Caenorhabditis elegans: one gene and its partner. The protein of the gene in region 1 interacts with the protein of each later gene in a pairwise test. Each region holds a gene or a part of one and is shown on either strand. Other genes may lie near its edges.

The links.
Region 2: the proteins of uev-3 (region 1) and pmk-3 interact in a two-hybrid assay, tested with the Caenorhabditis elegans proteins (one study listed by BioGRID).

The regions. Positions count from the first base shown.
Region 1 is NC_003279.8:9,308,237-9,313,256, reverse strand, and holds uev-3 (Ubiquitin-conjugating enzyme E2 variant 3), read right to left. Parts: upstream 2,939-5,020; 5' UTR 2,929-2,938; coding exon 2,868-2,928; intron 2,504-2,867; coding exon 2,365-2,503; intron 2,318-2,364; coding exon 2,143-2,317; intron 1,883-2,142; coding exon 1,676-1,882; intron 1,281-1,675; coding exon 1,107-1,280; intron 1,054-1,106; coding exon 957-1,053; intron 871-956; coding exon 653-870; 3' UTR 620-652; downstream 1-619. Other genes in the region: F26H9.5 (putative phosphoserine aminotransferase), read left to right, coding at 1-488; rab-5 (small monomeric GTPase), read right to left, coding at 3,487-3,621, 3,822-4,133, 4,337-4,425, 4,722-4,812.
Region 2 is NC_003282.8:8,137,437-8,143,949, reverse strand, and holds pmk-3 (Mitogen-activated protein kinase pmk-3), read right to left. Parts: upstream 4,732-6,513; 5' UTR 4,648-4,731; intron 3,705-4,647; coding exon 3,453-3,704; intron 2,970-3,452; coding exon 2,824-2,969; intron 2,774-2,823; coding exon 2,689-2,773; intron 2,391-2,688; coding exon 2,281-2,390; intron 2,236-2,280; coding exon 2,088-2,235; intron 1,915-2,087; coding exon 1,308-1,914; intron 1,227-1,307; coding exon 1,150-1,226; 3' UTR 799-1,149; downstream 1-798. Other genes in the region: Mitogen-activated protein kinase pmk-2, read right to left, coding at 335-439; islo-1 (Interactor with SLO-1), read right to left, coding at 5,026-5,326, 5,378-5,508, 5,863-6,178, 6,385-6,513. UniProt on the Caenorhabditis elegans protein: Responds to activation by environmental stress and pro-inflammatory cytokines by phosphorylating downstream targets. Involved in axon regeneration after injury, probably downstream of dlk-1 and mkk-4 and upstream of mak-2. May phosphorylate mak-2.

The DNA of each region.
Region 1 (5,020 bases):
TTATTGTTCGGAAAGATCTTATCGGAAAGCAACAAGCAATCACTCCATCTGTCTTCAGTTATAAAGAAATGATTGCAAATAATAGTTTGTATAATACACCACCAACTGGAGGTATCTACACAACAAATCTCGTTCTCAAATGGATAAAATCAAAAGGTGGACTTCAAGCAATCTATGAGCTAAACCTTCAAAAATCTGGAATGATTTATGATATAATTGATAATTCAAATGGTTTTTATCACTGCGCCGTTGACAAACGCTACCGTAGTATTATGAATGTTTGCTTCCGAATTGGCGGTCCATCTGGAAACGATGAACTTGAGGAGAAGTTCTTGAAAGGATCTATTGAACGAAATATGATTAGTTTAAAGGGACATAGATCAGTTGGTGGAATCCGTGCATCGCTCTATAATGCCATCTCAGTCGAGGAGACACAAGTACTTGCCACGTGGATGAATGAGTTCCAGAAACTCCATAATACTAACTAGTCGGGAGACACTATATTTTTCTTGTATTCTTATTCTGAATTTGTCTGTGATTTTTAAAAACCTTCATGTGCCTTTTTGATTGTTTGTATTTGAATTTTTAAAGTGATTTTAAGAACCAATAAATAATGGTTAACATTTTTTGTTTATTTAAAAAAAACAGAAAACTATGAAATTCCAATGACATCAATGTCTTCATCAAGAAAATCTTGTCTTCTCCTTTTTTTTGTTTCAGCAAAAATTGTCTTGCGTCCGTTTATAGTTCCTCCGGCCATTTTCATTACAAATTCCCGGGCTGTACGCTCGAATTTCGGCCAATCCTCTTTAGCAAGCCGCGAGATATTCGGTTGTGACATATCTTCCAATTGAGCAAGATTTCTACGTTCTGGAAGAGTTCATAATTTAATTTTTTAGTTGATATTTAGATAGCCAAGTAGTTTAAAATGTCTTATAAATGTAGAAAGAATTTACCAATATCATATTTCACATTTCGCATTCCTTCCACAATAAAATTATATAAAACTTCCAAATTGGATCGTCGTTCCCATTGAATTCCACGCATGTCCCACTGAATAATTGCAAAAAATTTAAATGTTTTCAAAATTAGGTTTTTAAACTTACGTTTCCATATTTCCCAAGATTCGGATGAAATATAAATGTGTGAAAACAAACTCTTGGAATCAATGAATGATTTTGATATGGTTGGATGTTAATATCGGCAAAAAATGTTCCACCTTCATAGATACTTCCAACAGGTCCATCAATTATTACATGAAATAATAATTGTTTCGTTTCCTGAAAAGTTACTCAAATTTTTTAAAAACAGAAAGTCGACTCAGATTTGGCTAAAAAACTGTTTATTGCGAAAAATATAATGTTTACTGTTTCTTGTTATTTTTAGAGGTATTTTGCATAAATTTATAAGTACTCTCAAAATATTCTAAAAAAATTAAATATCATAGCCGAACTCTTAAAAATTAAAAAAAAAATAGAAATCGCATTAAAATTTTTTTGAAACTTTAAACTATGATATTTAGTAATTTTATCACTTAAAATTATTATTATTATTCTACAAAAAAATCCGAAAAAATAATTTTAAATTTGACATTTTCTTGTGGTGGAAAAGTCAGGCAATGTCAATCCATTTTGAATTTTTTTTTTTGAAATTTTCCAAAAACCATAAACCGTACGTCGATTCTCATTATGCATCCGTTGACTTTTTTTCCTTGTAAATGTCGACTTCTATTCATAAATTCGGTGATAATATCAATCTGGCAGAGGGATTTCTCGACTTTCTTCAATTTTTCGTAGTTTATTCCATCTCCAACTATGTCTATTATAGAATTTTTGTCGTTGTCCATTAATGTTACAGTTTCCTCTTCTTTTTTCTTTATTTCCTGTAAAAATAATTTTAATTAGGAGAAATATTTATATTTCTGACTTCAAGTGGGTTCTGATTTTTGGAGAGCAACAATTTTCAGTTTGATTTTTTTTGCAAAAAAATGTTAGGTCATTTCTCAATACTCTTTTAAAAAATATTTGTTTCATATTTTTCTCATTAAAATAATTTTTGAAAAAAATATCCAGATGCGTTTTTGGCTGATTTTTTCTCGTTAAAATCTAAAACAAATAAATAAATAATAATTTAAATAAAAACCTTCAAAATAACAGAAGGATCCACAAAATTTGTGCTTCGAAATGAAATGAGACCATTGACACGTTGAGATTCTTTGATAAGATCTTCTGTATTTATAAAATGTGGAATGCTAACGTTTAGACACTCCTCCCGATGATAATTATGAAGATCTTCAAGTGGAACATTCTTTGGAACTCTGAAAATGTTTTAAAAATTAAGAATGATTTTTTTAAATGTGACTACGTTTTTCGTGGTTGTGGTTCTCGATATTCTGGAAGTGGTTTTCTTTGTGGAACTTCTGATGGTCTTAGGAATGTAACCTCATTCCGTGGAGTTTCATCTGATGGTATTGCAATTGGACGGGCACGTCGACGTGTTGCAGCTGAAAATTAAAAATTCAAAGTTCCTACTAGAAAGTTTGATTTAAAAAGCTAAAATTGATGACAAAAATTACAGAACTATTTTCTTTGTGTTTTTTCACTACAGGCACGGTACCCGGTCTCGACACGACAAATTATTGTTAAATATAAAAAGGTGCGCGCCTTTAAAGAGTACTGTAGTTTCAAATAATTTTCCATACTTTTTCATTGCTTTTCGAAAAAAAAATCAGATACATATTTAAAAAATGAATGTAAAAATTTAAAAAAATTAAAAAATCTCAGATGATTTTGTATATTTTAAAGTAAATTTATTTAATTTTTAAATTTAACTTTCTTTTGAATTCAATTGATTTGAAAAGCATTTACTTTTTGTGGGCGTTGGTTCTGCTCGAAGAGGCGGTCTACTTGTTCCAGGTTGATCGGACATTTGTATTCTTCAAATAATTCTCACCTTGTTGTTTTTCAGAAAATTGAATTCAATATCTAATATCGATCGTATACGAAGGGTTTTGTGTTACCAAGTATATACATTTTCGAACTTCAATTTATTCGGATAGATTCTGAAAGGATGCTATAAAATTTTGAAAAAAAATTGACAAAAAGGTGGTGAAACTTTGACGAGAAAAGTACTAACAGTGGGATGGTGGGGTTCGGGACTTGGATGTTGATGGTGAGAAGCAATAAATAATTGGAACATTTGAATGAAAAAATGGGAGTTTTCGCATATAAAAAGCAAATGGGCAGAGCCAATTGTGCAAGCTCATTCACTGGCTGAACATTAGTCAGAAATATACAAAAAATGAGAAAATATGGGTTAAAAGAGTGAAAATAAATAAAGAAAGCGAGCACAAAAAACTTGTTCAAAAGTGTTTTTTTTTCGAGGGGAAAACAATGACGACGATCACAGGCGTTGGATTCAAAAGATATATAGAACAAAAGAGGAGCGGAGCTAGAAGGGTTGATGGTACATGAAAAAGTCGTCAATTTATTTACAGCATGAACCCTTTTGTTGCTGTTGTGGTTGGTTCATATCGACAGTTCCCGTTGGTTCACCCTGTGCTGGTCCGATTGGCAACTTTTTAGCTATTGCCATGAAAATATCGTTCACGTTCATTGAGGTCTGTAATTAAATAAATAGAGAATTGATTTTAAATTGGAAATCTTAAATTTCTCATTCATTTTTTAATGGAGATTAGTTCAAAAACTATCTTCGCAGAAAACAAAGTTTATTGTTATTTTTAATAACAATTTTAGTTTTTGATCTATTTCAGTACTCTGTTAACATGTTTTTATTGTCAAAATCCAAATTTTCTAATGTACCTTCGCAGATGTCTCCATGAACAAGAGAGCATTGTCCTCAGCATAAGCATTAGCTTCTTCATACTCAACAGTTCGCTTATTGGCAACATCAGCCTTGTTTCCAGCCAATGCCATCACAATATTTGGAGATGCCTGTCGCTGCAGTTCTTTTACCCAATTTTTCGCTTTTTGGAAAGATTCTTGATTGGTAATATCGTAGACAACAATAGCCGCTTGAGCTCCTCGATAGTACATTGGTGCCAATGAATGATATCTTTCTTGTCCTGCAGTATCCCAGATTTCGAATTTAATTGTTGCATCGTCAAGGCACACCTGAAATTTCGAAAATTCAATTCTTAATTATTAACGTTTTTACGTCTTTCAATATAAAATCCGTGTTTTTCGAGCAAAAATCTCCGCAATTATATTATTAAAAAACAATATATTATTAAAATTCGAGATTTTTCATTTTAGTCAAAATTTTTGTTCAAATTAGGGAAAATTGTTATATTTTCACAAAAAATTCAAAAACTCACAGTTTGAGTGAGGAACGCAGCACCTATAGTCGACTCCTGATACTCGTGAAATTGTCCCTTGACGAATCGCAATACGAGAGATGATTTGCCTGAAATGATAGTTTTCTGTGATGTTTAGGTGAAATAAGAGAGCATATACGTCATATGCTAGCAACTATCAGATGACCCATAATTCTAAACATATAAACAATCAAAAGACGAAGAATTAAACTTCGAAATCAACGCAATTTCGAAATTTTGTGACGGTTTTCAGCAACTGCGAAATATGCTACAGACAGAACGGAGTAGAATAAAAAAATCTTTATTTTTTGGAAAACTGTTCTTGTTTGCTTTTATTTTCTACTCCAACCTTTAGCGGTTTTTTCCATTTTCAGTATCAACTCACCTACAGCACTTTCTCCGAGAAGAACGAGTTTGAACTGGCACGTTCTGTTTGGACCTCCAGGCCGGGCGGTTCCTGCGTTTCGGGCGGCCATTTTCTAAATACAAATTTGTTGAATTTATTACATTAAAAATCGATCGAATAAATTACAAGCAAAAAATAAGCATAATTTCACATAGGAAACGATATGAGGGAGGATTCAGCTGAAAAAATATCAAAATGGTTTCAAAGAGAAATAATGTTGCATTTTTCTTTCCAGAAAGAACAAAAAAAATAATGTTCGACTAAAATTCTATATCTCA
Region 2 (6,513 bases), on another chromosome or scaffold:
GTAATTGTGTTTTACTTTTAAGAAAACATTGGATTTTTTTAAAGAATTCAAAAAAAAAAAAGGAATTCAAAAAAAAAATTTTGGAAGCCGACCAAAAAAAATCTCTCCTGACTTTCGTTATAAAATCATTTTTGTTCAAGTGATTAAAAAAATCTTAATTTTTTTTTCAAATAGTCCGCAAATTTGGAAATTTTCCAAAACTTTGACTAAAAATGATGAATAATCTAAAATTAACTCATTGGGTTTTTGTAATTTGCAAAATTTCTTTTAGCTCATTCTAGTATATTTAGACAATATTCACTACACTATAAAAAATCTTCTTCTGTAACTATACCTCATGATATCCTTCTGGAGTAATCTCAGGCGGGGCAGGACCAAAATCGGCAAAAAAGACACCGGGAATGCTGGCTGAATCGCCCATGGTCGCCGACATCCCCATCAACAAGACATCTAGAAAAAGTTTGAATTGAATTTGTAAATATAATTTTTACATTTTTGCACGAAAGTTTTAATATTTCGAAAAAGGGCAGACAATTGCCTACATAGGTATTCCAAAATAATAATTCAATCTTATTTCACATTTTTTAAATGTTTGAATTTTTCTGCTAATTGAATAAACGTTTTAAGCTGAAGTTCAGGATTAACTTTGTCAAGTCAAACTATGCTTTTTATATTAAAAAAATTCCAGAAATTTTCAGATAATCTCACTTTAAACATATAAGCTCGTGTAAAATATGAGTGACACGGATTAGAACCAATCTCTTTTTTATAAAACACTTCAAGCTTTTAAAACGAATTGTCAAAAGAAAATAAGTTTATTGAACTAATTAGTATGTGTAAGGGTGCAATGACAAGAATGACGAATATAAAAAAATATGATGGGATAAAAGCATGAGAGAAAAACGAGACAAAGAGATTCAGAGAAATGGAGAAGTAAAGAGAAAGAGAGAAGGAGACAGAGACATAAAAGGAAGAAGCTATAGAATGCAAGAAAATAAATACTCTGAAAGAATTTGAAAGAGAAGATGGAAAACATCATTATCACCTGTAAAGTGTTGCTATCACTGAACGACAAAGAGACGAGAAAGAGAGAGGGAAAAGAAGTAATACATTTCCGGAATTATATACAATTAATATAATTGAATGAAATCAGCGATCTGCTTCTCCAGGGATTAACGGTGATGAGCTGAGTCTTTTGTAGTTCATTATTTCCTTCCAGACGGCATCTGTAATAAAATATTTTTGCATTTGTTGTTTTTCAAATTTGCAGGTGTGCAGAATTCTATTACGTGATCTTTGAGCCTTACCTCTCCACTCGAATCTTGTTCTAGCTTGAGAGTCATCCAAGTCAAATATATGATCAGCTCTTGGTTCATCTTCTGGAAGTGAAAACTCTGCCAAATATGGATGTTGAATAGCTTCTTCCACCGTAATCCTCTTCTCTGGATCCAAAACTAAAAGCTTCTCAAGTAGATCAATAAAGTCTTCTGATGGATTATGAGCAGAAAATACATCACGGAAATTTCGACGTTTGTGAGTTGTGTAGGATTGAATTACGGCTTTAATTGCAGACGAGTTATCATTTTCAATCTTTGTCAAAAGTTCTTCATCAGGACTTCCACATAATTGAGTAATACGTTGATATTGAGCATTGGGCTCATCACCCGGAAACAGTGGTTCTCCAGTTAAAAGTTCTGCAGCAATACATCCAAGTGACCACATATCTGCCAGATTTGTGTAACTATCAATCTTCCAATAAATGACTTCTGGACTACGGTACCATCTTGTTTGTACATATTGTGTTAGAGAAGTATCTTTCTTTTCCAAGGATCTTGCAAGTCCAAAATCGAGAATCATGAGGTCAGAATCATCGGTCAACGCGAGATTTCCTGGTTTCAAGTCACGATGTATAATCTAAAAAATTTTAATAAATATATTTTCGTGTTTTAGTCATGTTCTTTTTGACTAATTATGGCCTAATCGTGCCTAATCCTCCTATATGAAATTTTATTTAATCTAAAATGCTGATATTTCTATTAAAAAAAAAAGAATGAGCAATGTTCTGTTCACTAACTCCATTGACTTACATTAGCAGAATGAATGTACTTAAGTGCACGTATGATTTGATAAATGATGAATTTGATATGCTCGTCGGTCAGCACGCGCCGTCCATAATCTCTTTGTTGCTTCAAGATCTGATAAAGACTACGACCCGCAAATTCAGTGACAACGTATCTGAAAATTATAGATTGTTTGTAAAACTTTTTTGTAATTACTTACACATCTCGAAAATCGTTTTCCTCGTCAGGTGTGTAGATGTCAAGAGCACAGATGATATTGTCATGTCTCATTAATTGAAGAAGTTTTGTTTCACGGAAGATGCGACGAGCCTGGAAGTTTAAGGTGTTCAAAGGATGTGATCGACCAAATATATTCTCAAAAATGGGTATAAAAACCAAATATCAGCTTTTTGAAATGTTCTTCTAAAGTTTTGGCAATTTTCCAACAAAAAAAAAGACGAAAACAGAAAACAAGATTAGTTTTAAAATTCTGGTTTTGCCCCAAAATTTTGAATCACCACTTCTTGACTGTACATAGAAAAAGTTCGAAAATTTTTAATACGATATTAGTTCATTTGAATTGTAAAAAATATGCTCTAGCTTCAATAAAAATGTATCTTTGTCTTACATGATGTGGATCAAAGAACGGTTCTCGCATCTTCTTTATTGCAACATAACGACGAAGCCCGTCACGGCACACTGCACTTGTTTTTCTGGAAAATATAATCATTCAAATAAAGCACACAAATACTGAAAAACATACATAACATTTCCAAACGAGCCTCCACCCAAATACTCAATGCTGTTTGGCTCGACGTCATAGCCTTCCGGAATTGCAAATGTAATGTTACGGATCATCACAAATTGGAATCGTCGTTTGTGTGGACCACATGGTTTTGAGAGAATATCCTGAAAATATAATGATGATTAAGATTTTGGAATACCTATGGTTGCAATATTGTCAACAATGTTTATTTCTGTAAAGCTAAATTTCTGAGGCATTACATAGCCAGTTTCCTATTTGGTTTGGTCTCTAGTACACGTGCCAATTTTATCATTTGGAAATAAGACGGCGCAATAATTTTGTGTTGCAATTTTTGTAGAAAAAACTTCTCAAAAAATGAGCTATGCGTGCGCGGGGTTAGATTCTTCTGAAAATGTCAATTCTAGTCAATTCTACAAATATTAAGCTAGTTTTGAAACTTTGACAATTATAAAAAAATTAATTATGGAATGTTTTATTTCCATCCTTTTTAGAGTATTAAGGTCGATTTCTTAGATTAAAGTCATACTGAAGCTTTACCTTTATCATTTTTATGATTCTCCGCATATCAACAAAACGCGCGGATTGACTTTCGTCAACTTACGAAATCTAAAATCTTTCTCCCTCACCTCTTCCTCCTCCCCAACCATCTCGTTGTTTCCCGTTGCTTCGATACTCTGCTTCTTAATATTCTCTGCAGCTAACTTTTTCTGTTGTTCCTGCTCTCGTTGTTGTTGCAACCAGGTGTTGGGTTCGTAGCTTTCTGGAGGTTGAGATTGATTATTACTTCGTTTGGTTGGTGGTGCACTTGGTGTTGACACGTCTTCATGACGACGGACATGCGACACTGGGAGACTAGATGACGATGGGACTGACGCCATCTGTAAATTTAAATGGGTTCAAGTTAGGGCTTGAAGTGAAAAAATCAATAACGAAAAGCGTTGTCGGGGGAAATTAGAGGAGTGTCGGGGATTTCAAAATGAAAGTTTTATTGCGAAACACGCCATGTAAACTCGAACACTCAAGCGACCTATATTTTTGCGGAGTGAAGTGTAAAAATTGTGAAACAATGATTTTTTTATTGTTTATGGTCACTACTTTGTTTTCTTTTGGAGGTTTTCGGATTCACTATAACTTTAGGAAATTCGATATTTTAGAAAATATTAGGAATTTTGAATTTATCAACAAAAAAATCAACTCAATCAATGAAGATTAAATAGAAGAATTTCCCATAGTTTTGGCAATTACTAACAATATCTATTTACATTTGAACTGTTAGTAATTGTTCTCTCGCAATTTTTGTAACGCGTACTTAAAGACACATGGATATTTTTGAATTGGGTCTCAAAGAGTCAGATTTAAATGTTATTCGTTTTTGTCTATTTTTGTGAAATTTTCAAAATATTTTTTCATTAATTGTGGAATGGAGGGATCATAAAAAATTCTCAGAACTTTTTCTGATGGCGAGACCCATAAGAGGAATTATGCAAAAAAGGTGCAAAACTACCATGAAATTATGTAAAAGATTCGGGTGCTCAATCAATTGTAATTAATAAAATCGGTGAAATACTTGTGAGCTCAGTTAAATTGAGATGAGCACTACAGTTTGTTTTATATTTTCTTGTTTATTTACTGAGTAGCGTCTCTTTGAATTTCGTAAAAAAGTGTACAGTGTTTGTTCGAATATGAGCAATATTTAGGTTCAAACAAAGTTAATTATAAAGGGTAAATAATATATTTCATTTCAATTTTAAATTATCAGAAAATTCGTCTTTTGTTCAGCGCTCCACTATTATGAAGTTTACCAAAAACAAAATATCTCACCTGTTATTATAATAAAGTTGTAGACTAGACGTTCCTGTATTGATTGATTTTGAGTATATGTTATGATAAAAATACTGGAGAAAACTGAAAAAAGACGGAAGTATAATTATCAGTGACCAAGGAAATTGGAAGAAACAGTGAGGTCAATCAGATATGAGTCAGCAGCGATTGAGACGCAGTGAAAAATGGGAAACGAGAGGAAGACATACAAAGGGCGAAGGTCGAATTTTTTATTTGGTTGATGGAAAATATTATTGTAGATAAATATTTTAAAATATCTACAAATTATTCATCTCCTTTTCGGTTGATCTTTGTGGATACAGAATTTTGAAATTAAAAAAAAACAATATAAATCTGGTTAACATCATAAAACAATGTCTATATTTGACTATTTTCTCTCCTTCTTGATCTTCCTGATCCTTTGCTTCGATTGGAGTTAGTTCGATGTAAAGGTCCCATTGATTTGGATCTTTTTTGACTTGAAGCTTCACTTGATTGTCTTCTACTTGCAACTGACGGCTGCCTTGATCCTAACCGATTTTCCATTATTGAATTCGTGTCAAGGAATCCAGATTGATATCTTCCAACGCTTGTAGCTCTTAGGGTATTATATGGACTTGCTACAAAAATGTTATTCGGAGATCGTCTATGAAGGGAAAGTGTGGAACATCCAGGAATTCTGAAATTATAGATTTACAGAATCTTGTTCCGGTTTGAATGAAGTTCTTACACTGGTGGATACAGTTTCTTTTCATCGTGTGGCTTAACTACATTAGACATTGCGTGTCGATTCTCAAGAACTGGGTACGCAGGTGGAGGTAGAGGTTGATATGGATCTTTCTCAAAGATCGGAGGTAGCGGCTGTAAACGTGTAACAACTAAAATGGGTACATTTTGATTTTGAATTGATACGCATTATTACCTACATTCTTCGTTCTAGTGAACTGTATCTAAGCCTTGTAAGGTTTCAAACACATTGCTGTTTCGGTTAATTTGGCAATTTACCAAAACTATGCCATTTTCAGAAATCTAAAATGTTTTAATAGTTTTTTTTAAATTATGGTACGATCATTTTGAGTTTGTTTAGACGTTAATTTGTTAGCTTTAATTGTTTATATTACTTTCATGAAATTTTCAAAGGTGTAGTCGCAACTTTTACAAGGACATGTGGGTTTCTAATTGAATTTGAATTTTCAATTAATCAAAAAGACTTACCACATAATGTGTTGTAATAGTCGTAAGCCTAGCAGGATCATTGTGCTTCTTTGTGTGGTGTAACGAGAGATCACAGAGCTTTGTTGTGCATAAAAAGTAGATTAATGAAATTATCAAAAACGAACATCCGAGTCCAAATAAAATAGGACCCGCAATTTGAATTGGTGGTGGTCGTATTCTTTGTTCGTATGGCCAAGTCCAGAATGGTGAAGTATAAAGGTATTTATATCCAAGAAGTGACATTAGTAGTCCTCCAATTAGGAGAAAAACGCCGAATGCTGTACAACAAATCAATGATGACGAGCCACGAAATTTTCTTTAAAAAATAATGCTTTTTTCAGGGTTTTTTTTTAAATTTTTGATAAAGTAACTTGATGTATATTTTCTGCGTCTCTGTTGAATTTTCGCGTTGAATATGATGTATTAGGACATACTCCATTAAATTATAATCTACGAGTTATTTAGTTGAGCTATTCAACCCTCATATTTCCAGCTTACAGTTTCAATTATCAAAAAACTAACGATGTTCTATATGGAAAAAATCCAAATGTTGCTGGATACAATATATCCCATCCTTTTGGATAATAATAGAAATATGGATCACGTTGAGCCATTGGTCCAAAATGAAGAACTCTTTGATTTCCAGTCCAT